4 linked regions of the Pelodiscus sinensis genome follow. The protein of the gene in region 4 interacts with the protein of the main gene of each other region in a pairwise test. Links are inferred from orthologs where the notes say so. Each region holds a gene or a part of one and is shown on either strand. Other genes may lie near its edges. The genes, in order: BAG3, HNRNPUL1, PPP1R16B and SF3B4.

Region 1 (7,282 bases), on a different chromosome or scaffold from region 4:
ATCATTAAAACCTGGCAGGAAAGGAATTACCTTCCATTACTATAGATTTCACATTAGATAAGAATGGAATTTTTGTTTCAATCACAAAGGAGGATTTATGATCCACTATAATTCACAATTTTCCTCCTTTTCAGATGATTATCAGCTTAAATCTGGTTTTTTTTTTTTTTTTGATCTTAAACAAGGCAGCAGAGACAATGGATAATTTCCCAAGAGATAGCAAATTTATAAGAGAGATCATTCAAAAATGTGCACTCTTCAAAAAACTATTATAGTTGCATAGGACATCTCTTAATATATTTATTTGTTCACAGTAGAATCATTCCTGACTGGAACCCAATTACACTATCAGACAATCTGTCTAACATGAGCTTTTTTAGTCAATTTTAAACATATAATATATAACATATGTTTCTGAGATCATCACAATAGTACCAAAATTACATAATTTACTTTGTCATTACGTTAAACAGTGCCTATCAATACATTTAAGAATATTTACAAAAAAATAAGTGAATTGTTTTATAAAATCTGTATTAAATCAAGAAAATCTGTCACACTGGATCCATACCCAAGTAATTCCAATGACTTCTGTGGAGGTACTCCTGATTTGGGAGCAGGGGGAGGGGGGCAGAGGGAGGTGGAGAGAGAATCAGTCCCTTGGGCTTCCATTATACTGCACTGCTTGTGCTGAGTTGTGATTGAATTCATAAAATGAGTAATAAATGTAATTCAATTATCATTCTGAAACTGAGGTATTGTAAAGAGTATTCCTGTTACATTTAGTGTTTCAAGCATCAAGATTTACATGAATGAATAAAGTTACAAGTGTCAGAATTGCACAAAAATGGTTGTCATCAGTCAACAAAATTTATCTTCCATGGGCTAATTTACAAAAATACATTTCAGACCTCTAAAGAACTTCAACACAAGCAACAATACTTTCTACAAACCAACGCCTACGTCCTTTCAGAATGCTGATGAAATGGTGAAAATATAGTTCTCAGAGTTAATTAGAACTGAATGTTGTCATGATGATTTAACTGTTTTGGTGCTCTACAATAATTTCTTGTGTTTAAAGGCCTAAGACCACCAGCACTGCTCCATTTTTAAGGCAACAGCTCAAGTGTTTTCCAAATCCGTTGCACTGTGACCTCTTTCTGACAACAAAAATCACTACACAGCCCCAGAAGGGATGACAGAAGCCTGAGCTACACTGTCTCAGGTTGGGGGAAGGGCAAAACCCCAGCAACCCTAAGACAGCCCTGGGGACCCCATTAAAATAGAGTCTCAACCCACAGTTTGAGAATTGCAGGTTTTAGCTTGTTACTACATTGTCAGGAACCTTCTCTAGTAGCTGAAGTAATCCAGCATTCAGACTACCAGTCCAATACCCAGGAACTTAAGAGTCCACACAAATTTCTTTCAGCATTAGCCTGACCAGCACTGTTTATTTTTTATTAAACACACTCTTTCCTTTGATGTGCTGCAGAATTCTCTACAACCCTCTTCTAAATAAGCTTCATTCTGGAACGTAGTGTCTAAGGACAACAGAACTGAGCCCTGTGTTAGTCCTATGACAATAATGTTTTATGACCATCAATAATATTTCAAAAATAAAGGCACAAGGACAAAGCTTAGCCTCGTAGTGTATTAAAAAACTTAAAACAAAGTAAACAGACATCTGATGATAAACTCTTATTTTCCACCAAGCTTTTAAAACCTTCCTAGTTCTGCTAGGATTTTCTAGCACCTTTTTTCTCCTGGTTTTTGCCTAAGGCTAACAAAATCCGCTAATTCTGATTAATTGGAGGGCCATTTATAAATTGAGTATTTATTGAAACTAAGACAGGCTTACTTAAAAGCTCCATTTATGAGGGCAAGTAGAAATAACATGACTCCTCTCTATCTCTCAACTGCTTCTCTTTACATGGACATATTTGGAGTAAGAGATGGATTTCCCATAAGCATGCTTTAAAACAAAACAAAAACCAAAGAACAAAATTACCCAGACAGTTAACACAAAGAGAAAAAAAAAAACCTTGAAAGAAGGCGGGTTTTTACTGATGTCCATAGTTTAAATTATACACATCTGAAAAATAAATCTGTGTGTGTCTTTCCAGGCAGGCTGGGTGGACTTAACCAACTTTAAATAAACATTACAGGGCTAAGGTATCAAATGATTTAATGCACAAAAAAAGGACTGCAGTGCGTCAGAGACAAAAGGCAGCTCCTGGCCTCACTGCATTGCCATGTACTGAGGAGAGGGGGCAGATGGCCCTGCCATTGCCCCTCACCCTCCACTGCACGGTACTGAGAGGGCAGGCAGTTCTGCCATTGCTCTAGCACCCCTACCCCCCCCCCCTTTCCATGTACTAGAGTAGGGGCGGCTTTGGCATTTGGCGTGTACTGAATAGAGCTTGTTGCCCCACTACAACACCACGTACCGAGGGGAGACCCGGCTGCCCCCTCCCCATGTGCTCCATGGGAAAGCTACTATCCCCCTGGTATTTCCCATATATCTAGGAGAGGGGAATCTGCCCCCCCCCAATTTGCCGTGTACCAAGGCCCGCCCTGCGCATTTGCCATGTATCAAGGGGAGAGGAGGCTGCTCCCCTCAGTATTCGCCATGTACCGAGGGCAGGCCCGGCAGCCCGTCCCTTTGTCCCCCTTCTCCCCACGCAGCCCTGCTCTGCCCCCCGCCGTGCCAGGCGCTGCGCACGGAGCAAGCTCCCGACCCTTTCCTCCAAAGTCCCCGGCGCGGAGCCCCCCCGCGGGCACCTTGTGCGGCTCCGCCAGCAGCCGCGGGTCGCTCCAGGTGGTGGTGCGGCTGTTGTGATCCACGAAGAAGGGCCAGCCCGTCTGCGGGTCGATCTTCACCTCCCAGCCCGGCGGCAGGGGCTCTCGCTCGGCGCTGCCCTCCATCTGCCCCAGGGGCGAGTGCGTGGCTGCGCTCATGCTCGGGCAGGACGCGCACCCAGCCAGCCCATGCGCTGGAGACTCAGGCGGGGACGCCGGCCAGGCCGGCACCTTTATCAATCAATGGGCGGAGGGAGGGGGCAGCGAAGGGGGTGGAAGTGTCTGGAAAGAGCCGCGCAGGGGCCAGGCGGAGGAGGAGGAGGAGAAGGGGGAGGAGAAGGAGGTGGAGAGACAGAGCAACTGGCCGGCGCGGCTGGAAACTTCTGGTGGTGTCGAGCAGAACTTGGTTGCGGCGGGGCGGGGAAAGCCTGCTTGAGTCACCCTCCGGCTCCTCCGCCTGTGGGGTTAGCCCAGCCCAACTCTCCGTGCTGCCGCGGCGTGTCCTCGCTTCTCGGGGGCGCTGGGACGGAGGCGGGGAAAGTTCACCCCCCCTTTTCTCTGGGGAATGGCCGAACAAGGAGCTCAAGTTACAGAGGGGGAGGTCTCCGCTGGATATTAGGAAAAACTATTCCCCTAGGAGGGTGGTGAAGCCCTGGGATGGGTTCTCGAGGGAGGTTTTGGACTCTGTATCCTGAGAGGTTTTTAAGTCTGGGTTTGACAAAGGCCTGGCTGGGGTGATTTAGTTGGGATCAGCCCTGCTTTGGAATCGATAACCTCCTGAGGTCTCTTCCAGCCCCCTGAGTCTATGAATGGGATTGCAGTGCCTGATCAGGGTCTTTGGCAGAAGTGTTGCTAGCCCCTTGGGGACAGTAAAAGCAAGAGTATTTTTGCCTCCCCCCACACCGCTGTGTGTGGCTGAAATCATACAGGTCATATAAAAATACCACAGAATCCATGATCTCTGTGACCGCTCAGTGCCTTAATAATAATAAAAAGTGAGTAGCCCTCCCCCCTTCTCCCATTTGAGCTGTTAGGGACCCTGCAAGTGCTTAGTCTCCTTATGCCTAGGGCCAGCACTGGTTTTTGGGCATTGGCAGAATGTAAAGGATTAGTGGCCTGGGTGCCTTTGCCTATAGCAGTCGATCAGTAATTTCTGATAGATAAAAATCTCACATATCTACAACACCTAAACAGCACCTCTGAATCACACCTGTGCAACCCCACTGGGCCAGATGCATCCTAGGAGTAACTTCATTGTGGCCAGTGCACAAGGGATAAAGGTGCTTGGACTGACTCTTCTCTTGTTTACAAGGTGTAACATTGATTTCAGAGAACTAGTCAGGCCCTGATCCTGGAAATGTGTAAGTGTATACGTAAGTTCAGTCTCTGAGATGCTTTTGCTCACCCACGTTCCACTATAGGTAGATGTGTAACACCAACTGGCAGAACTGAACCTGGGACCTCCAGAGCTAATCTCTAAGGCTGTAGAGTAGTGTTTCTCTACAGAAACAAACTTTTTAAGACTGAGAAACACCAAACAATTTTTTTTACGAGGGACACCAAGGATTTTTTTGTTGAACAACAACAACAACAAAAAAACAGCCATTTTGAACTCTGTTGTTCTCCACGGCACACCTCCGACTGCGTCGTGGCACACCGGTGCTCCCCAGGACACAGTTTAAGAAACACTGCTGTAGAGCAAACTCTTTTGCTCTCTCTGGTCTAAGTGCCACTATATAGGACAGTGAGCCACATCCAGCAAGTGTGTGGGTTACATTTACACCTCAAGCATGGGCAGGGAGTTCTATGGGCTCGGGGTGCCCAGGCAGCACCAAGAATATTCCTGGCCCAGGCCTGGCTCTACCAAAGTTCAAGACTGAGTCTCTCTCCCACCCGCCACCCTGCGCTCCCCAGCCCAGCAAGACCCCCAGCCCACCTGCTATTCCTGGGTCATCTAAAATGGCCCAGGAAACATCACCAACAGCACTCCTCACCACTTGCTCTGTGCAACTGCTGCTATGTGTCCCTGTGACCCCCTTGGGAGAAGGTTGTCTCTGCGCATTGCCCTTGCCCCAAGTGCCCCTCTAGCCCAATAGGAAGCTCCAGGGTGGTGCCTGCAGAGAGCAGTGCACAGAGATCTCTGCTCCTTATGCTTAGGGGCTGCTGTCAAAGAGGAGCGCCCTACGTAAGTGCTGCAACCTCCATCCCCTCTCCTAATATCAACTCCTGCTCCCCACTCATTCCCAGAGCCTGCAACCCCCCCTCTCCATCTCTTTCCCACACCTACACCTTGCACTCCCTCTGGCTGCCCAGAGGGTAGATGGTATAGGCCTCCATCTTTCTCATCTCAATATTGTGACAAAGCCTTGGGCAACAGCAGGTGATCCAGGATTCTAATCACTGCAGCATCAGTTAGTTGCCCAATGCACACCACTATATGAGTTCTGTGCCAAATTGATAGATTGAAGATCAATTGGAGAGAGTGAAAAGTTAATTACTTCATTAACTCAGAGGCTACAAAGTACAGAAAAAGAGCACAGAAGGAAAGAGAGAAAGTGGAACAGCTATAGGCTGAGTTCAGGAACTGTAAGATATGACTGCCTGTATTCTGCTCTTGTGAGGGACTAAGCCTTGGTCTATGATGGTCACACTTCTGTTCCAAAGGGACAATGATCTGCTTTAGGCCTTTCTTCCCATTCCTTTAGTCCACAGCATTTTTAGGAAGATTTGCTAAGACAAAGCTAAGGTGGTAATGATAGCTCCAGCCTGGGCACTAGTTCTAGAACTCCTGCATGAGGCATCTTTTTATCAGTCCACCTGTTCCTCTTTATATAAATCTACTGGAAATAATTTCCCAGAATCAAGGCCTGGTGCTTCATCTGAACCCAGAATCTCTATACTTAATAGCATGTGATCTGGCTGAATTCTGTGGACGGATCCTGCTCAGCAGCTAAACAAGACATTTTGATTCAAAGCAGAAAGCCTCTATTAGAAAGATTTATTAATTTAGGTAAAAACATTTCTCTTCATGGTCTGTTGAGAGTCATGTTTTAGCCTTCTTGGATTCTTCTATATCAGTCAACTTGGTCTAGTTATTGTCTTCAGACTTTCAGTGGGGTCCAGTTGGCTGCTATTCCAGCATATCGTCCACTTGCAGATAGTCACTCAATTTTTTCTGCAATATATAGATTTATAAAAAGATCTGACTCACACGTTCCCACCAATTAAGAAACCATTACCCTGTTGGGGCTTGAATGTGGAACTCACATCTTTGATGGATCCCTCATTTGAGACAATGGCAACATGTTTTTTTTATTTTATCCTTCTATTAAGACAGTTTTTCTAGTTGCTATTGGCCCACAAGATGCGAAAAATTCAAGCATTAATTGCACAACCACCATATACAGGTTGAACCTCTCTAGTCCAGCCCTTTCTGGTCTGGCAATATCCATGGTCCAGCATGATTTTAGTTAGCTCAATGGCCACTTATCATGATGTGGCCACATTTTCAGCAGTCCCATAAAATTTATTTACTGCCCCAGTCCTGGCTCTCAGGGTTCTATGATGTTATTTAGCTCTAATTTACCCCCTAAATATCTTTTAAGAGTCCAGTAAGCAGTAGAAGTGCTGGTAATGCTGCTAGACAATATTGACCTCCCATAGTTTGGTAAATTCTTTGGTTTGGTACCAGTAAGGTCCCAAGGGTTTCAACCTGTATTGAGGTTCAACCTGTAGAGAGGTTCAACCTGTATTGTCTTTTATAAAGGCAGAATTACATTCAAACCACAACTAGTATTTTTCTGGCAAACAATAGTTTTGGACTTTTATATAAACTAATCAATACACTTATCAGTGATTTCCCTTAAACCTCATGATTTTCTGGGAAGATTAAACTCCACAGGCCAGATGTATGCGGAGCTATGTCCTTTCTCAGATGAAGTCTTTTTGTAAATCACCTAGACGCTTTGTGACTCTTACTAATAAGTCTAAAGGATTTTTTGCTAGTGTAACTGAAAGTAGAATCTAGCCCCAGGTTTGGGTTTGGCAATATTACCACAGGAAAATGAGTTAGAAAGGAGTCAAGTCAATAGGCTTTTGGGTGGCTCATTGTAGGCAGTTCAAATCACATGGTCCTCCTTTCCTTCTGGTTCTACAGGCATTACAGTAATCTCTGTTGATTTCAGCAGCTGGAAATGAGAAGGAGAACCAGCTATTGGAAATCCTAGGGGTTGCTGCTATATAAGAGAAGGAGAAGAAGAAAAGTCCTATCCAGGGACAGATCCTTGGTTGGTATGTGAACTGTCAGCCACCATCAGGAGCTGCAAGTGGGAGAGAAATATTCAGGGAAGAAAGGAACTGGGCAACATGTGCAAGGGAGGAGAGGACCAGATCAAAGGGAAGCAAATCAAAGGAGAGCAGAAGAAAATATAGGCTATGTCTATACTGTAGGGTATTTTTGGGAAAAGGTACGCAAACTGTGAAC
Region 2 (7,897 bases), on a different chromosome or scaffold from region 4:
AATCCTCAGTTCACCCCGAGGCCCACACTGTGTGGGGGGCAGCCACCCCCCGGTTCTCACCTCTTGTGGGCTACACCTCAGGATAAACGCAGCCCTGCGGCATCTTTCCAGGTGGAACCGCCCCTACTCCCTTGTATTTCCCTGCCTCACTTACACCGGCACCGGCAGCACCCCTGTATTCGCTGCGTAAACACCACCCGCAATAAAACTGGGTTTACTGACTCCCTCCATGGCTCACTCGATGCGTTCCGTTCCGTTCCGAGGCTCGGGCAGGAAATATTCCCAGTGCCGCAGCAGCGACACCAACACGCTCCTGAAATCCCAGCCAGGCTGGGTCCGAGAAACTAGCCTCCCCTGGGAAAATCCAGAGCCCGTCAATGGCAGGGAGCGCTTCCTGGGACGGACGCGGGCAAACCCAGCCCGGGAGCGAGCTGCACAAACCATGGATATTTGGGTTTGCTGAAGAGGCAAACCAAAGGCAAGGTTTGGAACGGTTCGGTGCCTTACAAAGGTGGGAGGGGGGTGCTGAACAAGACGTTTTGTTGGAAAAGCCTTCCTTTTGATTCGGAGCCTCTTGAACCCTTTGCCACTGGGCGTTCGCTCCGCCAGCTCGAAGGCCGTTTCTAAACCAAGAGTCGTTTGACACCCCCCATCCTACCCTGTTTGCCTTTCGATGGCGTCCGGCTTTTTCCAACCAAGCTGACGCAAGGTCACAGAAGGTTTTGCTGTGGCCAAAGCTGCGGGTTTTTCCCCCTTAGATAAAACACTTTGGCTGTGTCTAAACTGGCCACTTTTTCCGGAAAAGCAGCCGCTTTTCTGGAAAAACTTGCCAGCTGTCTACACTGGCCGCTTGAATTTCCGCAAAAGCACTGATGTAAGATTGTCAGTGTTCTTGCGGAGATACTGTGCTGCTCCCGTTCGGGCAAAAGTCTTTTTCCGAAAAACTTTTGTGCAAAAGGGCCAGTGTAGACAGCAGAGATTTGTTTTCCGCAAAAAAGCCCCAATCGTGAAAATGGCAATCGGGGCTTTTTTGCGGAAAAGCGCGTCTAGATTGCGGAAAAGCGTCCTGCCCATCTAGACGCGCTTTTCCAAAAATGCTTTTAACGGAAAACTTTTCCGTTAAAAGCATTTCCGGAAAATCATGCCAGTCTAGACGTAGCCCTCGGATGGAATTTTCCACCCCGCTCTAGTGAGGTTTGGATGTCGGGAAGAGATTTACATCAGTGGGGGCCTGGCCCGCGAGCGAGGGCTCTTGGCCCACGAATGCTGCCGATTCTCCAGTTCGGGTCTCTCTCCCGCTTCCAGCGGAGGAGGGCGTGGTGGGACAAACGCCTGGGAGCAGATACCGGGGGGTGACCGGCCACTGCTGGCCAATTGCTGGCGCTCAACGTAACGGGCGCTGGGTGAGCAACCTTTGCAGCCAGCTGTGTGGAAACCTGCCTGGAACTCAGCAGCCGTTGGCGGACGTGGCCCTCGGGCGGAGGCGTCCCACAGACCGAAGGCCTGCTACTTGTGGGAGCACCGGGGGGATCCGTGCACGGGGTGCCTGGGGTCCTGCCTCAGCCAGAACGGGGCGCCCCGCCCCCCTGGAATGACTGACGCTTGCTCTGCCCCCGCAGCTCCAGAACATTTCTGTCACCGTGAGCGCCCTGGAATCCTATGACCAGAGCCACGTGGTGGCCATGAGGCGGGAGCTGGCCACGCTCAGACAGCGCCTGGAGGACTGTCAGAAGGACAGGCCACTGCTGGGAGGCCAGCCGCTGGTCGGTGAGTACCCCCGGGGACGGGTCTCAGCTGGACTGAGGAGACTTCGCTCAGGTCCCAGCACTGCCCCAGCCACCCCCCCGGGACTGCCAAGTCTCCCTGTGTGCCTCAGTTTCCCACCTGTGAAGTGGGGCTAGCCATGGGGTGACGGGAGAAAGGTTATGAGCAGCCCAAAGCCTGTGCAGCCATAATCCCTGAGCTGGGAGAGAGCCCAGGAGTTCTGGCTCTCAGCTCCCATTGATCGCCTCTGCCCCCCCGCCACTCTAATCACTAGACTTCACTCCCTTCCCAGAGCTGATCTTGAACCCAGGAGTCCTGGCTCCCAGCTCCCTGCTCTAACCACTAGCCCGCACTCCCCTCCCAGAGCTGGGCTGGAACCCCATTGCCCTGGCTCTGAGCTGTGCCGTCACTGGGCCGATCTAACCCTCGTGACGCCCCGACCCCCTCTCCCCGCAGGCACGTGCAGCCACCGGGGGATCTGGCGCATCGGCAAGCCCTCGGTGGTGCAGCTCAACTGGAAGGGCCCAAGCTACAAGGCCGGGGCCTGGGGCAAGGAGTCGTTCCTGGGCGCGGGGCGGAAGGAACGCTACTGGGTGGCGCCGCTGAACACGGACGGCCGGCGGCTGGACGCGGTGCGTCTCTACGGCTCCTACCAGGACCTGCTGCTCGCCAGGAACCCCACGGACCAGCTGATCTCGGGCTCCGGGCAGGGGGCCGGGCCGGCGCTGTACAACGGCTCCCTCTACTACAACTGCTACAACGCGCGGGAGGTGTGCCGCCTGAGCCTGGAGAGCGGGGCCGTGGACCGCAAGGCCGTGCCCAACGCCGCCTTCAACAACCGCTTCTCCTACGCTGGCACCAGCTGGCAGGGCCTCGACCTGGCCGCGGACGAGACCGGGCTGTGGGTGCTCTACGCCACCGAGCGCGGCGAGGGCACCATCGTCATCGGCCGCCTGGGGCCCGGCTCGCTGGCCGTGGAGAAGACCTGGCTCACCTCACAGTACAAGCCGGCGGCCACCAACGCCTTCCTGGTGTGTGGGGTGATGTACGCCACCCGCCCGCTCAGCACCCGCCGCGAGGAGATCTTCTACGCCTACGACACCCGCACGGGCCAGGGGAGCCGCCTCAGCCTGCCGCTGGAGAAGGTGACCGACGTCGTGCAGTCCCTGAGCTACAACCCCGCCGACCACAAGCTGTACATGTACAGCGACGGCTACCTGCTCACCTACGACGTCATCTTCCGGCCCTAGCGTCCCGCCTGGCCTGGAGGCAGGGGACCGGCAGCGCCCAGGGCGGGTGGGTCTCCCCCTGCCTTCTCCGGCCCACCCTGTTCCTTCCCCCCAAACTCCAGTCTTCCTCCCCCTCCTCGTTCCCCCTTTCCTGTTCCCCTGATGCTTTTACTCTTCGTCCCAGGTCACTGCCCTCAGTCCTGCTCTCTCTCCCACCATGCTTGTTTCTCTCTCACCACTTTGCTAGAACTAAGGCTGCTCAACGGCCCAGCTCCCAGGCTCTGCCTCAATTTCCCCTCCCAGCTCCCGGGCTCTGCCTCAATTTCCCCTCCCAGCTCCCAGGCTCTGCCACTCCACCCCCTTTGCTACCGTACTGGGGTTTCTGCCACCCCACGAAACCTGTAGTCTCGGCTGCAATTCCCCTGCACGCCACAGCTGGAGTGGGCGGCTGGGGCCAGGACAGACAATCGGCCCATTGGTTGTTCTCGTGAGTTTCCATTCACCCCACTGCCTCCGCAGGGCCACACCTGGGGCGAATTTGGCTCTCGGAATTGGGGGCTTCTGAGGCCCAAACGGAGCCTTGTTTTGTCTTGGTAGCCAATAAACGTGACCTTCCAACCGCAGCCCCGTGCGCGTCACTGCATTTGGGGGTCTAACGCGTCCCAGGGACCAGCACCCGAGCGCCAGGGAGCTGGCAGCCAGGGTGGGGCTGGCGTCTTGCCCACAGCCGGGACTGCTGCTGTTTCCATGAAAGCCGCTGGCGCCTTGCTTCATGCAGCGCCCCATTGCCTGAGAAAACCAGACCTACCCCGATCAGCCAATAGGAACGGGTCTAACAATAAATCCCCCAGGGCTCAGCCAATGGGAAATGCACCTTCCCCCACAAACAGACCTAGGCCTCAGCCAACGGGAACTGCTCTAACAAATCTCTCCCCCCCCCCCCTTTAGCCAATGGGAAATGCACCACCATCAACCCCCCCCCCCCATACCACCAGGCCTCAGCCAATGAAAAATGCAATAACATCCCTCCCATCAGCCAATGGGAATTGCAATAACACCCCTCCTATCAGCCAATGGGAATTGCAATAACATCCCTCCTATCAGCCAATGGGAACTGCAATAACATCCCTCCCATCAGCCAATGGGAATTGCAATAACATCCCTCCTATCTGCCAATGGGAACTGCAATAACATCCCTCCCCTCAGCCAATGGGAATTGCAATAACATCCCTCCCCTCAGCCAATGGGAAAGGCAATAACATCCCTCCCCTCAGCCAATGGGAACTGCAATAACATCCCTCCCCTCAGCCAATGGGAACTGCAATAACATCCCTCCCCTCAGCCAATGGGAACTGCAATAACATCCCTCCCCTCAGCCAATGGGAAAGGCAATAAGATAAAAATCCCTTCCACAACCAAACAAACGCTCTCTGGGCTAAGCCAATAGCAGACAAGCTCACAGCCGCTCAGTCGGGAGCGCAGCCAATGGGACATGCGCAGAAAACAAACAAACCCAGAGTCCAGCCAATGAGGAACTCCCCGTGAAGTCGCGGGGGGCGCCGTGATTGGTCTAAGCGAGGTCTGACGCCCGCCCGTTTAGCTGCCAATCAAGGCCATCCTTCCCGCCCTCCAGGCGCCGTTTGAGGGACGCTCGCGGCCCCGCGGCCCGCGGCCAATGACAAGGCCCGTTCCAACGCCGCCTCCCGGCTCCGGCCAATGGCCGCCCCGCTGACACACGACGCGCGAGCGGGAGACGGGCGGCGAGGGGAGGCGCGAGGCGCCCGGCGCGGCCCAATCGCAGGCGGCCTTGCAGGGCGGCGCGGGGCGCCCGGCCAATGGGCGGCCCCGTTGCGAGGCGGCGCGGCCGCGGGCGGGGAGGCGGCGATGGCGGCCATTTTGAGCCGGGCCCGCAGCCGGGCAGCCGGGGCCCAGCGCGGGGCTCGGAGCGCGGCCGGCGCCATGGACGTGCGGCGCCTGCGGGTGACCGAGCTGCGCGAGGAGCTGGGCCGGCGCGGGCTGGACACGCGCGGCCTCAAGGCGGAGCTGGCCGAGCGGCTGCAGGCGGCGCTGGAGGCCGAGGAGGCGCGGCGGGCGGGCGGCCCGGCGCCCGACGGACACTGTGAGGGGGGCCCCGCGGGCGGGGAACGGGGCCCGGCGGCGGCAGCCCCTCACCCGCGCCTCGCGCCTCGCGGGGGCGGGGCCAGCCGGGCGGGGGCGGGGCCTCGCTCCTCGAGGGGGGCGGTGAAGAGCCTCCCCCCGCCCAGGGTTGTCGGGCAGCCCGGCGGGGTCCCGAAGCCCCTGGGCCCTGCGGGTTTCTAAAGCCCCTAGGCCCTGCTCTCCCTGGGGCGGTGGGTATCTAAAGCCCCTGGGCTAGGTAGGTGCCTAAAGCCCCTAGGCCCTGCTCTCCCTGGGGACGTGGATTTCTAAAGCCCCTAGGCCCTGCTCTCCCTGGGGACGTGGGTTTCTAAAGCCCCTAGGCCCTGCTCTCCCTGGGGACGTGGGTTTCTAAAGCCCCTAGGCCCTGCTCTCCCTGGGGACGTGGGTTTCTAAAGCCCCTAGGCCCTGCTCTCCCTGGGGACGATGGGTTTCTAAAGCCCCTAGGCCTTGCTCTTCCCGGGGAGGTGGGTTTCTAAAGCCCCTAGGCTTGGCTTTCCCTGGGGCGGTGGGTATCTAAAGCCTCTGGGCTAGCTAGGTGCCTAAAGCCCCTAGGCCCTGTTCTCCCTGGGGACGTGGGTTTCTAAAGCCCCTAGGCCCTGCTCTCCCCGGAACACTGGGTTTCTAAAGCATCTGAGCTAGGTAGGTTTCTAAAGCCCCTAGGCCCTGCTCTCCCTGGGGACGATGGGTTTCTAAAGCCCCTAGGCCTTGCTCTCCCCGGAGCACTGGGTTTCTAAAGCATCTGGGCTAGGTAGGTTTCTAAAGCCCCTGGGCCCTGCTCTTCCCGGGGAGGTGGGTTTCTAAAGCCTCTGGGCTAGCTAGGTGCCTAAAGCCCCTAGGCCCTGTTCTCCCTGGGGACGTGGGTTTCTAAAGCCCCTAGGCCCTGCTCTCCCTGGGGACGATGGGTTTCTAAAGCCCCTAGGCCTTGCTCTCCCCGGAGCACTGGGTTTCTAAAGCATCTGGGCTAGGTAGGTGTCTAATGCCCCTAGGCCTTGCTCTCCCCGGAGCACTGGGTTTCTAAAGCATCTGGGCTAGGTAGGTTTCTAAAGCCCATAGGCCCTGTTCTCTCTGGGACGACGGGTTTCTAAAGCCCCTAGGCCCTGCCCTCCCTTGGGCGGTGGGTTTCTAAAGCCTCTGGTCTGGGTAGGTGTCTAAAGCCCCTAGGCCCTGTTCTCCCCGGGGGGAGGGTCATGTCTGCATAACAGCCTGGCCTGGCTCGCTGGTGTAATTGGGGTTTTCACTGGGGCATTTAGGCTCACAGCTGTTGGGGACACCCGTAGCCTCTGGTTGGGAAGGGGCATCAGGGTGGGCAGATACGATGTGCCAAGCTGGCTCTGGGTCATGTGATCCCAGCGCTGAGGGCGCCGGTAGCCTGGGCTCTAGTCCCAGCTCACTGCTCCCACCCGGCTTGTAATGACGCGGGGGAGTTGGTGTGTGTAGATGTACCCAAGAGACTTCTGCCTTCCCCTCTCCCATGAGGAAAGGAGGTAGCTTTCTGTCAGCAGTAGGTGCTTATTTTATGCATCCCATGGCTGGTTTTATTTCTATCTGGAGAGGGGTCAGTTCTTGGCTGTTCCTCACTTGTTTCCTTGTTGATGGATTTTGGCAGGTAGGGATCCTGTCAGCCTATTCATTGAGAGATCCTCTAGGCTTTTGTCAGGTCCTGTTCCCCCCCCTCCCCCAATTCCCCTGGTGGTTAGGGTCTGTTTCCCATAGACTGGTTGGCAAGTACCGTAGAGCCACATCTCGTCTGCTGTCCACTGCGATGTTCGTGCATGGCTGGAGGAGCTGTGTGTGCACGTGCATAAATAGCTTGGATACACATTTGATCAGTTCTGCTTCATACAAGAGACTGAGCTTAAAAGACAGAAACTGAACTGCCCCTCCGGGGTTCAGCACTGGGAGTATGTATGGGTCTGGACTTGCTAGTCATCTTATCTCTTTGCTGTATTACACGTCAAACCACGTGTGGGAATGCTCCCTAAATCTCAGGTGCTTGGAAGCATGTGCAAGCTTGCTTGCTTGCTGTTGTCCATTGGAGGCATACTTTTGTCCTCCTAATGGTGCATCTCGTACCGGGACTGGTTCTGTGCTTTTCTGGCATGCGGTGTGATAGCGGATGAGCCACCTTTCAATATTTCACTAAAGCAGTGGTTACCAAACTTTTTGGCATCACGCCCCCTTTTTGATTTTTGAGAAACCCTCACACACACACACACACCCCATAGCAGCAAAACTTGTTAAGCTAAAAAAAGTGGGGGGGGAACTGACCGGGTCCGAAAAACAAAAATAGCAGCAAGTTGGGGGGGTTGGACCAGGGGGGCTGTGTCGCCTCATGTCCCCCCTGAAATGTCTTCATGCCCCCCAGTTTGGGAACCCATGCGCTAGAGAATGCTGATTTGCTTTGGTTCTGTGCTAAGATGCTCTTATTGTACCATTTGTGTGAATTGGACAACCTCTGAGGACCAAAACTTACTGATTTGTCTTTCCCCTGGAAGGTGATGTAGCCACTTTCACTTTTGCTTTTTGTAGTTCTTGGAAAGTAAACTACAAGTTCAGTCCTACATGCAAGTGAGTAAACTTCCTTTGCTAGACGTGAGGGTCACAGTTCAGTCCTGCAGGCGTAGGGAGTGTTGTCTGTCATTGTTTGCTGGAGCGTGGGTTAGATTTGCCTGACACTGGGATTTCGTTGCCTTTAGTTCAAAAGGGGTAGTTTGCACTAGAAGAGTTTTGCCACTGAAACACATGCT
Region 3 (7,302 bases), on a different chromosome or scaffold from region 4:
CAGCAACAGCAGAACCTCAGCTAATGGGCTCTGTAATCTTAAGATTAATTCTTTTTTCTTTACTAATGCTTGAAATGTCCCTGTTGCAGCATCTGTCATGCTGCTGCAAAACAGACATCATTGCCTTGAACAGAATGCATGTGTGGTAGACACTGTTTAAAGTCCTGCCTACACATATTCCTTACAGAGTAGAAAAGAAATTCAACACCTGGCTGATGCATTATTTATTTATATCTATTGTTTAGTTTTGGGCTCAAAGACCATTGTGTGGCACTTAATCTGCGTACTTTCTTCCTCTAATCTGAACTAATGCATTTTACCTACCTCCCAGGCAGATAATGACAGAGATAGATTCAAGATGTAAAGTTTGTCTCTGGGATGAGATTTCAGAAACCAGAGTTTGGGGTGACTATAGTTTAGCCTAGTAGCATGTTGTTTGTGAGGTGCTGTGAAGCAACAATGCATTCTTATAAAAGCCATGTGTATATTATGATTTTATATATGAGAGCCAGAATATGGAAGACAAAGGGTATCAGCTTAGTTTTTCTGCAAAGTGTGTAGGAAGTTGAACACATTAGACTCTCCTAATTATAGCATCTCTTGTAAAACGATAGGAGCCCAGTTCTACGCCACAGATATGCCATGAAGCATTCTGGGTCAGACCAATGGTCTACCTTGCCCAGCATCCTGTCTTCCAACAGTGGCTAAGGCCAGGTGTGTCAGAGGGAATGAATAGACCAGGTGATCAGTCCCCTGTTATCCACTCTCAGCTTCTCCCTCGTAGTTACACACAGATAAAGGAGTTTTCATTTCTGAACATCATGGTTAATAGCCTTTGATGGCTCATTCCCTGGCAACTTCTCTAATTCTTTTTCAAACCCTATTATACTTTTGGTCTTCACAAGATACCCTGGCAACAAGTTCCACAGGTTGACTGAGCATTATATAAAGAGGTTTTCCATTCATTTAACTGTGCTGCCTATTAATTTCATAGAGTGTCACCTGCTTCTTGTGTTACGTGACTATAAATAAATTCAGCTTTATTCGCTTTCTCCACACCAGTCATGATTTTATTAACCTCTATCATATCCCCCTGCCCCTTAATCATCTCTTTTCCAAGCTGAAAAGTCCCAGTTGTATTAATCTCCCTTCATGTGAATGCTCTTCTATACCTTAACCATTTTTATTGCCCTTCTCTGAATCTTTCCCAATTCTAATTATTTTTTTAAGTTGGGGTGACCAGAACTGCATGCTTACCATGCCCTGATGTTACTTCAGCCAAGTTTACTTGCATTGCTTTGACTGAAATAAGTGATCATCAGCCACAGATGGAATACTTTATACTTCCATTATGTCTCTCCCACAGGGCCACAGAAGCAGAACCATGCATTTTACTTCTCAGATAGGCAGGAGACTGGGTAAAACTAGAACTTAAGGATCTGTGAAAAGAATCCAAAGACATGAGGAAGCATAAACAGTTCCCCAAAAGTCTGAGAGGAGATGATGTGTCCTGTGATGAATACAATGAAGTAACTGAAAGAGACTTTGTCTTTAGAAGCAAATAGCACTTAGGCTATGGGGGGGGGGGGGGAAGAATAACGTGCTGTTGGCAGATAAGGTCAGAGCACAGTGGTAGAACAGGAAATAACATGACAGGTGTAACCCCCTTTTCCCTCCCCGGGTTACTCGGGAGCAGGTCACACTCTCCTGTGTGCCTGGGCACCTGATGGTTTTAACATAAAAGGAGATCCTGAGCACCCCAGTGGTGATGTTGTTTAGTTGGGGAAAACCCTATCCACCCCTTTTCTGCAGTCCCTTGCTCATAAAGAACATACAAGGGTGGTGCCTCCAGCTGGCTGGCCTTGTACACACTTACTGGTGTGCCTTGAGAGCATCCAGGAATAAACTCATTCCAGCAATAATCTGGATCTAATTCCAGAACAACTGCAAATCATATACATCTAAAAGATTACATTAAAATAAACACTCTTTACTTAACTTAAATAAACAGGGTTTAATAGATTAACAATGAATAGCATTAACAAAGGGCACCACAATAATTGGAACTTATATAGCTAGCATTTGCACTGCCAATATTGATCCCACCCCAGTGTGCGCACACTCCTGGACTCAGAGTCCCAGACTCTTGCTTGCATGAGCGCACTTGAAGAACTGCAGCTGTAATGGAGATTCTCTGCAGGCAGTATGTATGAGGGTCCAAGCTAGGCAGCAGCTCTGTCCCAGGCAGCACTTTTCAAAAAATGCCCAATTACTTACAGTCTCATGCTGTGCCTATCAGAAGCAGCCTGCTTGATCCCAGTTCCAAAGGCCAGTCCCAGTCTATAGCTGCACTCTAACAGCCCCTGGACTGGATGAAACTCCTCCACAGCAGCCTGGCTTCCCTTCTGTTCCAAAATCCAAGGGCAGAGTCCCAGACTGCTAAGCCTCCCTTCTCATGCACTGGAGAGACCCTGATCTCCCACACAAGAGTCACTTCCTTCCTGTTTTTCCCAAAGACTCATGGGAATTGTAGTCTGTGAGGCTGGATTGCAGCACTCAGGGTCTTCCCAGAAAATAAGCGGAGGCACCTTTAGTAAGGGGACTACACAGGTATCTGTAACTACAAGGTATTCATCTTACTGAAGACTGGTCTCCATTGCCTATAATACTTGTTTACTAGCAAATGGTTAAATAGCTCCTGTGCTTTTGAACTGAAATTTGTTAATGTCCCTGTAGTTAAATCAGCCAACTCCTTTCCACCTTTTCATTACTATGAAATTTATACCCTTTGCCTTTTTCAAAACATCAACTATGGCTTTTGCAGGAAGCTTGGAAGGCCACAAAATTCAGACTTGCAGAGTATGTTATAGGTTAATACTTTCTCTGTACTTGCTTTTTAGTGTTGGGCATGCTTTTTGTCCTGATTTCACTTCTGGAATGGGCAAGGCAGCTTTGAGGTCTTGGGCCTGCTGGAAACACATTTCAGGGTTGTTTCTGCCATTTCCAACTCAGAAGCAAATGTCTCACTGTAGATAGTGATCTGGAATGTGTGTCATTTCCCAAGATCAAAAGTTGCTTGTATAAATTCATAATAGTCTCCTTTGCTATTTTTGCCCCTTCGGGCTGTATCTCTACTAAACTGAAAGTCCCTTTAATGCAGTAACCAGTTGCATCAGCTATTTAGTTAACAAAATTATATTTTGGTTGACCATCCTGAAAAATAAAAAAAAATAATTTGGGGTCAGACAAATTTCTGGTTGTTTGACCAGAAATGTTTAGACTTTGTGCTTTTACTTTTGAAATGTTTCAGTTTAATTTTAAAACCAAAATAATTTTTAATCAAAAGGTCAAACATTTGGTATAAAAAATGTCAAACATTTCAGTTCTTTCACATTTTTTGACACACAATTCAATGACTTTAACATGAACTTGTGAAATGTTTTGGTCAGCCCCATTCTGCAATTTTTGCTGAAAAAAATTTTAGGACCGCTCTCCATTAAAGCTGGGCAGATACCTGTGCAGTGTGTAGAACACACACTGGTCAAATGTCCATGCTTTGTCTGCACCATTGCATTTGCTGCCATGGCTGCAGGAGTTGCTGTAACAATATACTAATTTTCTCATGGATTTGGTGTTGAACTGCCCACCCTGAGATTTAAGCTGCCTGTTCAGTATGCAAGCATAAAAGGAAAGAGCCAACCTAATGCCACACTTAGGCTACATCTAGACTGCAGGCTTCTTTTGGAAGAAGCTTTTCCAGAAGAGATCTTCTGAAAAATCTTTTGAAAGAGAGCGTCCACACTGATTGGACACTATCTCGCATATAAGGCCACCCGGAACCACTTCAAGCAGGGCTTTAGGTCACCAATTGCTTCGGAGTGCTGTTGCTGAATCCTTGCTGACACACACACTTAAAGGGACCCTCCTGGACATCCATTTCTCTGCTTCCGCTGCGTGCTTGGTACCTCTTCGAGGGACTGCAGTGCTCCTGCAGTGCCAGCTTTGGTTGGCCAGCTTTTTTGGATACCACAGCTTTTTCCTTTGTGCCATGGAGCCAGAGCTGCCCCTGGGCATGCGATGGCCCCACACGGCCATGCTGCAGTTTGCGCAGGCTGCCTTCCTGGCCCTGCGTGAGCTCCACTCCAAGCTCATACTGGAGACCCTCTCCCTGTATGCAGGAGCAAGACCTGTGCAACTGCACCCCACAGTGGAGAGGCATTTTTGGAGGCTGGACACCAGTTCTGATTTGTGGGACCAGCTGGACATGGAGCGGTGGGACGACCAGCAGTGGCTCCAAAACTTCCGCATGCAGAAGGCCACCTTTTTGAAGCTATGTGCCTGGCTCGTCCCTGCCCTCTGACAATGCAACACCCACCTGTAGCCCGCCATCCCCCTGAAGAAGCGGCTCACAATTGCCATCTGGAAGCTTGCCACCCCAGAGAGCTACTAGTTGGTGGGCAACCAGTTCGGCGTGGGGAAGTCCACCGTCGGAGCCCTCCTCATCAGGTAAGGCACTCCGGGGCTGCAGTCCCTGCATGGGGGGAGGAATCCTGGAAAAGGGGGATCCTCAGGAAACAGGAGGCTTGGGGGGCAGGGTGTAGGGCTGGGGGGGGGGGGAGAAGCCCCGTGCCTGGGGGATTGTGCCATCCCGCCCTCTCTCAGCCCTGCTGCTGAGGGGGGCTCCTGGGGTGTTTGGGGGGGCAGGCACCTCCCAAGTGCTCCGGCACTCCCTGTCATTCTCTGTTTTGTGTGTTGTCTCCTTCTGCAGGTGGTGAGGGCCATCAACTGCATCCTGCTGCACAGGGTCATCCTCCTGGAAGACCTGGACCCGATTGTGACTGGATTTGCTGCCCTGGGGTTCCTGAACTGTGGTGGAACCATAGATGGGACCCAAAACCCGGTCCACATTTCTGAACCATCGAGCGCCCCAGTATATCAACCCCAAGGGCTGTTTTTCAATGGTGCTGCAGGCCCTGGTCGACCACGGTGGACAGTTCACGGACACTTTTGTCGGGTAGTCAGGAAGGGCACACGATGCCTGCATCTTTCAAAACTCAAGCCTCTACAGCAAGCTGGAGGTGGGCACATTCTTCCCCTGCTGTGACTTTGTGGTTGGGAATGTGCAGATGCTACTGTGCATCGTGGAGAATGCAGCCTACCTCCTCATGTCATCATTAATGAAACCCTATACCGACCACCTGGACCCCAGCAGTGACCAGTTTAACTCCCACCTTAGCCCAGCAGGGATGCAGGTGGAGTGCACCTTTGGCCGCATCAAGGTGTGTTCAGTTACCTCCTGACCTGCCTCGATGTGGGGGAGCACAGCATCCCGGAGGTTGTCTCAACACGTCCTCAACAACATTGTGGAGAGGAAGGGGGAGGCCTTCCTACCTGGGTGGGGGGCAGAGGCCGGCCACGAGGGGAGACTCTTTGAGCAGCTGCGGACAGTTGCCATCCGCCAGGCCCATCAAGCCGGGCTGCACATCCAGGAGGCCCTGAGGGAGAGTTTCTCTCAAGGACCCCAGTAACTCTCCCCAGGACCTCCCCACTAGCGGCTTCTGGCTTGCTCTAATATCCCTTTCCCACCACAACCCCTCTCCGCCCTTTCACAGACCTCAGAATAAAGACACCTGTTGGGATTTTAACAGAATGAACTTAGTATTTATCCTTTACTAAAAAAAGTTGGGGGGGGGGCTCATAACCTGGAGGGGGCCTCAGAGCTGGGAGTGGCGTGGGGGACAGCTAGATGTCTGGGTGTGGAGACCTCATTGAACTTGGGTTTGCGTGGGTCCTTGGACCGGAGGGGGGTGGGCCTGAGCATGGTCAGGGATGGTAGGAGGAGGGTGCATGGGCATCGCTTGGAGAGGGCAGGAGGATGGCAGGCAGGAGCAGCAACAGCAGCCGGGTGTGCCAACATCTCTCTCTCAAGCTGATCTCACATGTGGGTCCGCCAGTCTGCACCCTCCTAGACCTTCTGCACCAAGGTCCGCTGCATATTGCACAGGACGTCCACATGCTTCCTCATGAGCTCCTCCTGGACCCTGGAGCGCTTTCGGTTCCCCCGGGGTCGGACGGCTGGCTCGGGTGGTGTGGCTCGTCCCTCGAGCCAGGCTGTGGAGACTACACAAGAGGGAGAGGCGGTCAGTCATCCCTGCAGACACTGTCCCTGAGGCCGTGCCCTTCTCTGTGAGCAGCGACCAACAGTCCTCGGGTCAGAGGAGGGGGATGTCCTGGGAGCAAGGCCATGTGTGGCTTGCACAGCAGGCCCTGCCTCTCACAAGCCCAAGGTGCTCAGAGAACCATGCTGGCCACTCCCCCTTCCACCGCATCATGGACAAGCAGGCCAGGGAAGTGTCTGGCCACAGGGAGATCCCATGGGCGGCAGAGGAGCCAGGAGCAGCCTGGTCCTCCCTGGAGCCTGCACACACACCTGCAGCTCACAGTGCTGCCCGCTGGAGCGGGTGGTGCCTCGCACGTGCAGGCATGCCTGTGTGCGGCACTCCTCGGTGTGTCGGGGGACATGCCTGCGCCCCTGTGGCTAGCCTGCTTCCAGAGGTGTCTGGTGGTGGGAGGGTATCCCCGCCCCCCGGGGCCAGATGTGTGTGTGGCCTCCCCTGAGCCTAGGAGCAGGAGCCTGGGTGGGCTCAGGGGCTGCCTGCTGAGTCCACATGGTGCACAATAATGCTGCACGTGGGCCCACATGCACGGACTGCAGCATGAGGTCCAGCCCCAGCAGGCCAAGTGACGCTCGCACCCCACCCCCTCGCACCCGCCTCCCCCACCCTGTGTGTGAGACAAAGTGAGAGCACTCACCTGATGATCCCTACCTGGCATCAGACAATGCTTGGGACACGTCCTGGCACATAGCAACTGCTCCAGGGACAGCGTCATTGTGGCCATGTCCTCCTCCGTGACCTCCGGCCAGGCGACGACGGGCATCTCGAGGTCGGAGTCCTTGACGACGGGTGGGAAAAGGGCTCCCCCCCGCCCAGGATCTGGTGGAGCTCGGTGAAGTAGGGGCAGGCATGGGGTCCTGCCCAGGAGCATAAGCTGTGCTCTCTGGCCCTCCCATATCCCTGGTGGAGGTCCTTCCCTTTAGTCCACACCTGTTCTAAGGGCCTCAGCTACTCAGCCTTAAATGTCCGCATTGTGACATTTGGAGCAGAGATCCCGTAAGGCAGTGTTTCTTAAACTGTGTTCGGAGGTGTGCCGCAGAGAACAACAGAATTCAAAATGGCCACTCTTTTTTTTTCCTGAATAACTTTCTCCTGACCTTTTTTTGCTCAACAAAAAATCCCAAAA
Region 4 (8,097 bases):
TGGGGGCGTTCTGTGCACGTGTTTTCTAAGCCTGGGCCTTCCGGTCTCCACTGGAGAGCCCCTGGAGAACGAGAGCGGGGGGGATCTGGAGCCAGGCCCCTCTCCACCAGTCCTCCAGGCAGCGGGGAAGTTGCGGGTGCACGGGCCGGCGGGCGGTAGTTGCACTTCGCTTGTGAACAAGCATTTCCCAAGTGTGGTCCCAGGAGCTTCTGTCCTGCCCCGAGCGAAGGCAAATTTCCTCTCGGCCCTTTGGGCCAAACCACTCCGCGTCTCCCAGTTTGACACAAGCTGAGGGAGTGATGGGTGGAGGGGAGGGAACCTTTAATAGCTGCCATCCTGGCAGACCGAGGTATGGTTGTCCCCCTAAATTGTTACCACCCACTGGCTGCAACTGACCCATCCTTCCCTCAGAGACAAACGCCCGTTACATGAGCATCCGGCTGCCCCAGCTACCATCACCTTTCCTGCTTCGTGGCTCCCCTCTTGGTTGGTGCAGTGAAGGATGAACAGGTCTGGGAGACTGAATTTCATTTCCACCTTTCCCCGTGCTCCTTCTAGCCCAGGGCTGAGACGCTGTGGATGTTTTGGGGGTGTGGAGCAGCTTGCTTGGGTTGCACCCATCTTGGAGACCTTCAGTGTCCATAGCTATCCCGCTAGCATCTCTCTTGAGCTTGGTGGGGAGCGAAAGCTAAAGGCCGGCCGGCCCCGTCCCAGGCTGCTGCTGGCCTTAAACTGGGGCTGCCGTTCCCTTTGTACGTTAAATCTGCATCGCAACTTTAATGCTGCGCCTTTCAGGGACCCGCGCTTGCAAGCGGAACTCCAGGCCTGAATCACAGCTCTGTCATCCGCTACGCCTTCCATATACTGCAGCCTTCTTGAGGGGAGGAGGGGGAAAGCAGGATTCAGAACCCAATCGTCTCCCTCCCCAGGCTGCAGAAGTCGTATCCAATTAGTCAATTTCACCAGCTGGGCACAAGTATTAGCATCAATCGGAGACTTTTCCCCTGGCTCCAGCAGGCATTGCATTCAGGCCCATGCCAAGGGTAGTGAAGGAAACCCTTTGATGGGAGACTTTAATCATCGTTAAGGAACCTACAGATGCCCGACGGCAGTAGCCCGATGGCCTCATGCCGCTTATTAGCGGCGTATCTGGAGATGGGTGGTGTTTACACAGTTCTTGTATGCTACTTCTTTTCTGCCCCGAGAGCCAAGTGCCTGCTTTGTATATCTGTCCAATGTGGCATAACAGATTATTTTTATTGGCGTTTATTATATACTCTCTTGGGGCAATATTGGACTTATGGGTACATATGTATGGTTTTGTTTAAAATTTTTATATATTTTTTTAAAAGCCCTGGCTATCAAATTAGGAACCCACAGGAAATGGGTTTAGTGTCTAAGCTCAAGTGTTTTATGACAAAACCGGCTGATACATCTATGTGGGAGCCTGTGTGTGTTTCTCTCTCACACCCACACCCAGAGGGACTGGAAGCCGCCAAGTTCCTGAGTGGATTAGAACAGGCGTAGGGCTGCGCTGTTATCCAAGATAGCATGGGGAGATGTGCTGGCATGGCTAAAAGTAGCAGTGGACAGGCACACTGGCTTCAGAGCAAGCTGCACAAGATCTGGGTAAGTACTTGCATTGCTAGCTCATGCCACCACATGACCTTGGAAATATTTAGCCATGCAAGTGCAGGTATGTCTAACCCATGGGCTGTGTCTAGACTGCATCCCTTTTCCGGAAAAGGGATGCAAATTAGACACATCGCAATTGCAAATGAAGCAGGGATTTAAATCCCCCCCACTTCATTTGCATAAACATGGCTGCTGCTTTTTTCCAGCTCGGAGCTTTGCTGGAAAAAAGCGCCAGTCTAGACGGGGATCTTTTGGAAAATAAAGCCTTTTCCAAAAGATCCCTTATCCCTCTTAAAATAAGGGATCTTTTGGAAAAGGCTTTATTTTCCGAAAGATCCCCGTCTAGACTGGCGCTTTTTTCCCCGCAAAGCTCCGAGCCAGAAAAAAGCGGCAGCCCTGTTTATGCAAATGAAGTGGGGGGGATTTAAATCCCCGCTTCATTTGCAATTGCGATGTGTCTAATTTTCATCCCCTTTATGGAAAAGGGATGCAGTCTAGACAGAGCCATGCAGTAATCACGCCTAGAATTGCAGTATAGACATCACCCATGCATGCAGAGAGTCCAGTCCAGCTGTGGTAAAGGAAATTGGTACAGTTGTCTGCAAAGTTTGGAATTGTTGGCATGAGAATCCTAGAACTTCAGACCTTTCAAGTGCCTGGGAAAGAACTGTCACCCCTATCTGAGGAGCATAAAGAGAGCACTTCCTTCAGAGCAGGCTCATTTCTTTTTACGCGCAAGATTTCAAGATGATGAGATTTCCTTTGCACACTCCTGTGTGGCTCCTTTTCCTGCTGGTTATTCCTTTCTAAGAATTTGGGGGTTTTGCTCATTTTTTATATGTATATCTTAGCACTAACAGCACATATACATAGTACTATTTTCAGAAGAAAATTAGGATAACTCAGCAGATCACACATTCCCTGTGACATGAGGCATGAGTTAAGTGGAAATCCAAATAAGGGCATTTTTTTTTCTATTTTGTATATTTTTGTAGTGATGTTTCTATTTAAGGATTCATTAAAGTTCAGTATTTTTTAAATGCAGAGTGGCGGTCTGTGCATTGAATTGTATGCTCTAATTAAACTCAGATACCAGAATCATGGGGTGACATTCTCTTCTCTGTCTTCTGAAGGAGGCCAGATTAGATTAAGCTAATGGCCTTTTGTGCTTTTAAAATCTATTAACCTAAGAGTTCAGATCATCTACTGCAAATTAATCAGCCCTTATAAGGTGCTTTGTAGCAGTAGATTGCCAAGCATTTCACAAAGGAGGTGACGATGATCCCTATTTTACAGATGGGGAAACTGAGGTACTATTGAGGCAGGGACTTGCCTACGGTCACCCTGCAAGCCGATTGTTGAGCCAGGAATAGAATCTAATTTTCTCCAATCATTGTTCGAGACTCTCTCACTTTACCCAAAGCAGGGTAGTCCAGCTGGGCTGAGGCAGGAGGGGGGAGGGGGCTATTTGCACCTCTACCAATCACATTGCTGTGTGCCTCGGTTTCCCCATATGCACAATGGGAATAATGATAGTGACCTTCTTAGGTAAAACAGGGGAAGCCATTACATCCCCAAAAGCAGTCAGATCCTTCCTCTAAAAGGCCAGACACCCCACAGGTGTAAGGAATTATGCCATCAAGGTGCAGGAAGTACATAACCGGCTGTGTTGGGCTCTGCAGGACAATAAAGCATCATGGCGTAGCTGACTCCAGCCCACACTCAAAGGCTATGTCTACACTGGTGCGATCTTGCACCAGAGAAATGCAAATGAGGCTAAGCGTAGAATATCACCGAGCTTCATTTGCCTATCTAATGAGCTGCCATTTTGCGGAAGAGGCTCTTGCGCCAGAAGGAGCTGTCTACACTGCCCCTTCTTGCGCAAGAAAAACCCTCTTGCTCAGTGCTTTTTTGCGCAAGAAGGGGCAGTGTAGACAGCTCTTTCTGGCACAAGAGCCTCTTCTGCAAAAATGGCAGCTCATTAGATAGGCAAATGAGGCTCGGCGATAGTCCATGCTTAGCCTCATTTGCATAGCTCTGGCGTAAGATCGTGCCAGTGTAGACATAGCCAAGGAGGCTGGGTCTGTGCGTCTCTCTCCCAGAGCCTGGGCCGAGGGGCCAGAGCCGGACTAAGGGGTGGGCGAGCCGGGCAGCTGCTCGGGCGCCAACTGATGGAGGGCGCTTGACGGCAGTTGTACAGGGCGTGTAGCGTCCCTTATAGCTGCCATCAGGCACCGTGCACCCAGCTCCCCCCCACATCCCAGTGGCGCTGGCCAGCAGCGCCCTTCCCCCCACAGCCACGGGGCCCTGCACGGCCAGGCAGCGCATGCGCCGTGGGCCCCAGGCTGCGCGCCAGTGGCCATGGCCGGACAGCGCATGCACCGTGCGCACTGGGGCGGGCCCACACAGGCGCCATGCGCTCTGGGGCGGTGCCACGCACCCGGGCCTGGGGTGCCGAAATGGCTCGGGCCGGCCCTGCGAGGGGCACAGATCTTCTACCGCTGGGTGTTTAGTTTTTCTCTCATGCGTCTCCAGCTGGGACTAGAGGCCTTGGGAAGTCCAGACAACTGCCCCAGTGCCCACAGGCCCCCAGCGTTGCCAGGTTTTTGCCTGGACTGTCTGCTATTCGGGCCCCCTGTTCAGTAAAAGCAGCAGACAGCACCGGACATGAGAAATGTCTGGTGCTTCCTTTGGATGGACGTGGGGTGGGGGTGGGGGTGGGGGCGGGGGTGGGGGTGCAGTGTGGGGCCATTTAAAGGCGCAGTACCCCCTTTTTTTCTCAACTTTGGTCAAGAGATTTTTTTCCTGGTGTTTTTTTTGGGGGGGGGGGGGGGGTATTTGTTAATTCATCTGGCACCCCTAGGCCCCGCCCCCTGTGCCTGCATTGGGAATAGGGGGCGGGGTCAAGCAGCAGGCGCCCCCCCCCAGCAAGGGGGGGTGCTCTGCGGGGAGGGGGCATCCCCTACAACGGGTGCAGAGGGCCGTGGAGCGGCTAGTGGCACTTTACGTCATGACACGTCACCACAAGGGTCCTAGCCCTGGGGGACCAGGGTGGGGATGAAGAAGAAGGGACCCAGCGAGCCACTTCCGCCCAAAGGGAACATGGCCCCCTAGGGGCCTGCCCGGCCGACTTCCGCCCTTAGCCGTCATGGCTCCCCGGCCACTTCCGGCCTCGTCCAAGATGGCCGCCACGTTCACTGCCCCGTTTCAGCCGCGGTGGCCGGAAGTGGGAGGGTGAAAGGGCGGAAGTCGGCGGGGGAGGCGGGAGCGCGTTCGAGATGGCGGCGGGGCCCATCTCCGAGAGGAACCAGGGTAAATGGCGGCGGCCTCCGACCCCCTCGCCCCCCCCCCCCCGCCACGAGGGGCTGGGCCCGATCCTGCCCCCACAGCCAGAAGGGGGGGGCTGGGTTCCAGCCGGGGGGGCGGGTCCTGCTCCCACAGCCCGGGGGGGGGGCTGATCCTCAGCCTGGGGGGGCCTGATCCTGCCCCTGGTGCTGGCTGGGTTCCAGTGGGGGGGGCCAATCTTCCCCTCCCAGCTGGAGGGGGGGCTGGGACCTCCCCCCAAAAGCGGGGGGAGGGGGCTGGGTCTGAGCCTGCAGGGGAGCCCGATCCGCCCCTCCCCCCCCACCAGAAAAGCTGGGCGGGGTGGGGCTGAGTCCCAGCTCGGGGGGGGGGGGGGTCTCGATCCTCTCCTCAAAAATGAGCGGGGATGGGGCTGTGCCCCAGCTGGGGGGAGGCGACCTCCCCCCCCAAAAGCCAGAGGGAATGGGGCGTGTCCTAGCTTGGGGGGGCCACGCATCCCACTAAAAGTGAGAGGGGTGGGGGCGCTAGATTCGGTTCCTCTGCTTTGCATGTGATTTCTGTCAGTTCGTTTTTTGTGGGGGGTGGCGGGAGCTGTGGGTTCTCACTCTGCAACCCTGGGCAGATCTTCCCTCCTCTCTCTGCCTCAGTTTCCTCCATAAAATAAATACCTTGGGGTGGGGGTGAGATTTTAGTTTGATCTGAAGTATCGACTTTGTGTTGCCTTGGCAATGGGAGGGGATCATGGTCAGCAGCGTCATTAGGTATGGTTTGAGGGTGTTACTGTACAAACGTGATTTAAGGGGAGTTGCTTCCTTGCACGCAACAAGGGGAGGCAGTGTAGCCTACCTGCTAGAGCACTGGCCTGGCCCTTGAGACACCTGAGTTCTATTCTTGGCTCTGTTGGGTGATCTTGAGCTGCTTCTTCTCACTGCCTCAGTCTCCCCATCTGTATTATGGGGCTGATGATGCTGACCTCCTTTGCAAAGTGCTGTGAGAGCTACTGAAGGACTAGCTAAAAGTTAGGGATTAGCACCTCTTTGGTGCATGTCTGCACTTCAAGCACGGGTTTTAATCCTCTGGCTTATTGGGTGTATAATACTCCAGAGGAGTGTGTTTCATTAGGGGTCAAATCTTGTGCTGTTGAAGTGGAGGCAAGTTTTGCTTTTGACTTAGTGGGCTCAAGCTTGATACAGAGCTCCTCTCTTCTGAGGGGGGAGTTCCTAACTCCTCTGAAATAGCAACGAGATTCCTCTTCAGAGCCATGTAACCCAGAACCGTCTCCTCTTCCCCCTCTCAAGATGCTACCGTGTACGTTGGTGGCCTGGACGAGAAGGTCAGCGAGCCGCTGCTATGGGAACTCTTCCTGCAGGCGGGACCAGTGGTCAATACTCACATGCCCAAAGATCGAGTCACAGGTCAACATCAAGGTAAGGCGCTGTCGGGGCCTTTCAAAGATGTGTGTCTGCAAAATAACGCATAGATCCGAATCCTCGTGGTGCCTGGTGCTGTACAAACACTGACCAGCCCGTCCCCAGGCCTGAGCTTATAATTTAAATCATTCTTCTGGGTTTCAGTTTACTCCATGCGTATGTTGCCACTGGTTCTAGGACACAGCACGGACCACATCTCATTTTCATATTGTCTCACTCCAGTTAAAAACATATGAACGGCCATACTGGGTCAGACCCCAAAGGTCCATCTAGCCCAGTGTCCTGTCTGCTGACAGTGGCCACTACCAGATGCCTCAGAGGAAGGGATTACAACAGGTAATCCTCATGTGATACCTCCCCTGTCACCCACCTCCAGAGAAACAGAGGGTAGGGATACCATTTCTACCCTTCCTGGCTAATAGCCATTGATGAACCTAACCTCCATGAATCCATCTAGCTCTTTTTTGAGCCCTGTTAAAGTCCTAGCTTTCACCACATCCTCTGGCAAGGAGTTCCACAGGTTAACTGTGTGCCGAGTGAAGAAAAACTTCCTTTTGTTTGTTTTAAACCTGCTGCCTATTCATTTCATTTGGTGATCCCTAGTTCTTATATTGTGGGAATAAGTAAATAACTTTTCCTTATTCACTTTTTCCATGGCCAGTCATAATTTTATAGAACTCTCTCATATCCCCCCTTAGTCTCCTCTCTTCTAAGATGAAAAGTCCAAGTCTTTTTAATCTCTCTTCATATCGGACCCTTTCCAAATCCCTACTCACATTCTTGTTGCCCTCCTAATCGGTTGCGTTACTTTGAAGAGTAGACGCGTGTTCTGGGCTCCGTTACTTTTTAACCCAGTTTCAGTGGAGACTTGAGGCTTGTCTACAATTGAAAGAGGCTGGAGCAGCTTTGCTGGCAAACTCTCCCAGTGGGAGAGACTGCATATAACAGAATTTTGTAGTTCCCTACATAGAATAAGTTATAGCAACTAAAGGACTTGCTGGTATCATATGTACATGTAGATCTTTGCTGACCCAGCTTTGCCATGTCGGCATGTGATTATTTCACACTCCCAGGCAACATAGCAATGCTAGAAAAACTTCCGAAGTGTAGGCCAGCCAGTAGTGAAACTGGTACAGATCCCTCTTTGGAGACTCAGAGCCGTTTAAATCTTTAGCTTGCAGCTGTGAGCTATGGGTGTTAAACCCGGTTCATCAATTGAACTTGATGAGTGTTCACGCGTGCAGCTGCACTAGTTTAAATAAATCAGTTGCAAAATGGCACCTTTAGATCGGTGCTACTTCATGGCTAGATCAGGCTTCAGAGGCCAAGGGCACGAGAAATCAATAGATGCAGGTGAGGGAGAAAGATGATCTGAATTGCAACGGAGTGGAGACGTAGACCGAGGTGGTTCCGGACACTAGATGACGCAGTGAGAGTTCTGTCTGCAGGGGGACAGTTGGCCTCCTCCGTCATTCCAGCCAGTTGTAGATGATTGAGGAGAGAGATTATTTCAGGGAGAGCTGTAGAGGAGAAGACTCTTGCGTCCACAGTGAAGAAACAAAGGAGGCCTGAGATCAAGCAAGGGGATGGAGTGGGAGGCTGGAGTGTGCCTGGCAGTAAAGGGCTCTGTTGTGGGGGGGTGTGTTTCAGGCTATGGGTTCGTGGAATTCCTCAGCGAGGAAGATGCCGATTACGCCATTAAAATCATGAACATGATCAAGCTGTATGG

What was found.
Region 1: the proteins of SF3B4 (region 4) and BAG3 interact in binary tests that used the Homo sapiens proteins (3 or more experiments, as listed by UniProt). The two-hybrid records come from large-scale screens. The link is inferred for Pelodiscus sinensis from reciprocal best matches to the Homo sapiens genes SF3B4 and BAG3.
Region 2: the proteins of SF3B4 (region 4) and HNRNPUL1 interact in binary tests that used the Homo sapiens proteins (3 or more experiments, as listed by UniProt). The link is inferred for Pelodiscus sinensis from reciprocal best matches to the Homo sapiens genes SF3B4 and HNRNPUL1.
Region 3: the proteins of SF3B4 (region 4) and PPP1R16B interact in binary tests that used the Homo sapiens proteins (3 or more experiments, as listed by UniProt). The two-hybrid records come from large-scale screens. The link is inferred for Pelodiscus sinensis from reciprocal best matches to the Homo sapiens genes SF3B4 and PPP1R16B.

What each region holds. Positions count from the first base shown.
Region 1 is NC_134718.1:58,606,339-58,613,620, forward strand, and holds the start of BAG3 (BAG family molecular chaperone regulator 3), read right to left. Parts: upstream 3,294-7,282; 5' UTR 2,959-3,293; coding exon 2,782-2,958; intron 1,086-2,781; exon of another isoform or gene 787-1,085; intron 1-786. UniProt on the Homo sapiens protein: Co-chaperone and adapter protein that connects different classes of molecular chaperones including heat shock proteins 70 (HSP70s), e.g. HSPA1A/HSP70 or HSPA8/HSC70, and small heat shock proteins (sHSPs), e.g. HSPB8.
Region 2 is NW_027465992.1:17,317-25,213, forward strand, and holds the start of HNRNPUL1 (heterogeneous nuclear ribonucleoprotein U-like protein 1), read left to right. Parts: upstream 1-4,879; 5' UTR 4,880-4,952; coding exon 4,953-5,112; intron 5,113-7,897. Other genes in the region: olfactomedin-like, read left to right, coding at 1,620-1,767, 2,221-3,014.
Region 3 is NC_134728.1:27,112,346-27,119,647, forward strand, and holds the start of PPP1R16B (protein phosphatase 1 regulatory inhibitor subunit 16B), read right to left. Parts: upstream 3,207-7,302; 5' UTR 2,278-3,206; intron 1-2,277. UniProt on the Homo sapiens protein: Regulator of protein phosphatase 1 (PP1) that acts as a positive regulator of pulmonary endothelial cell (EC) barrier function. Involved in the regulation of the PI3K/AKT signaling pathway, angiogenesis and endothelial cell proliferation.
Region 4 is NC_134734.1:20,278,615-20,286,711, reverse strand, and holds the start of SF3B4 (splicing factor 3B subunit 4), read left to right. Parts: upstream 1-4,787; 5' UTR 4,788-4,913; coding exon 4,914-4,947; intron 4,948-6,236; coding exon 6,237-6,365; intron 6,366-8,018; coding exon 8,019-8,097. UniProt on the Homo sapiens protein: Component of the 17S U2 SnRNP complex of the spliceosome, a large ribonucleoprotein complex that removes introns from transcribed pre-mRNAs.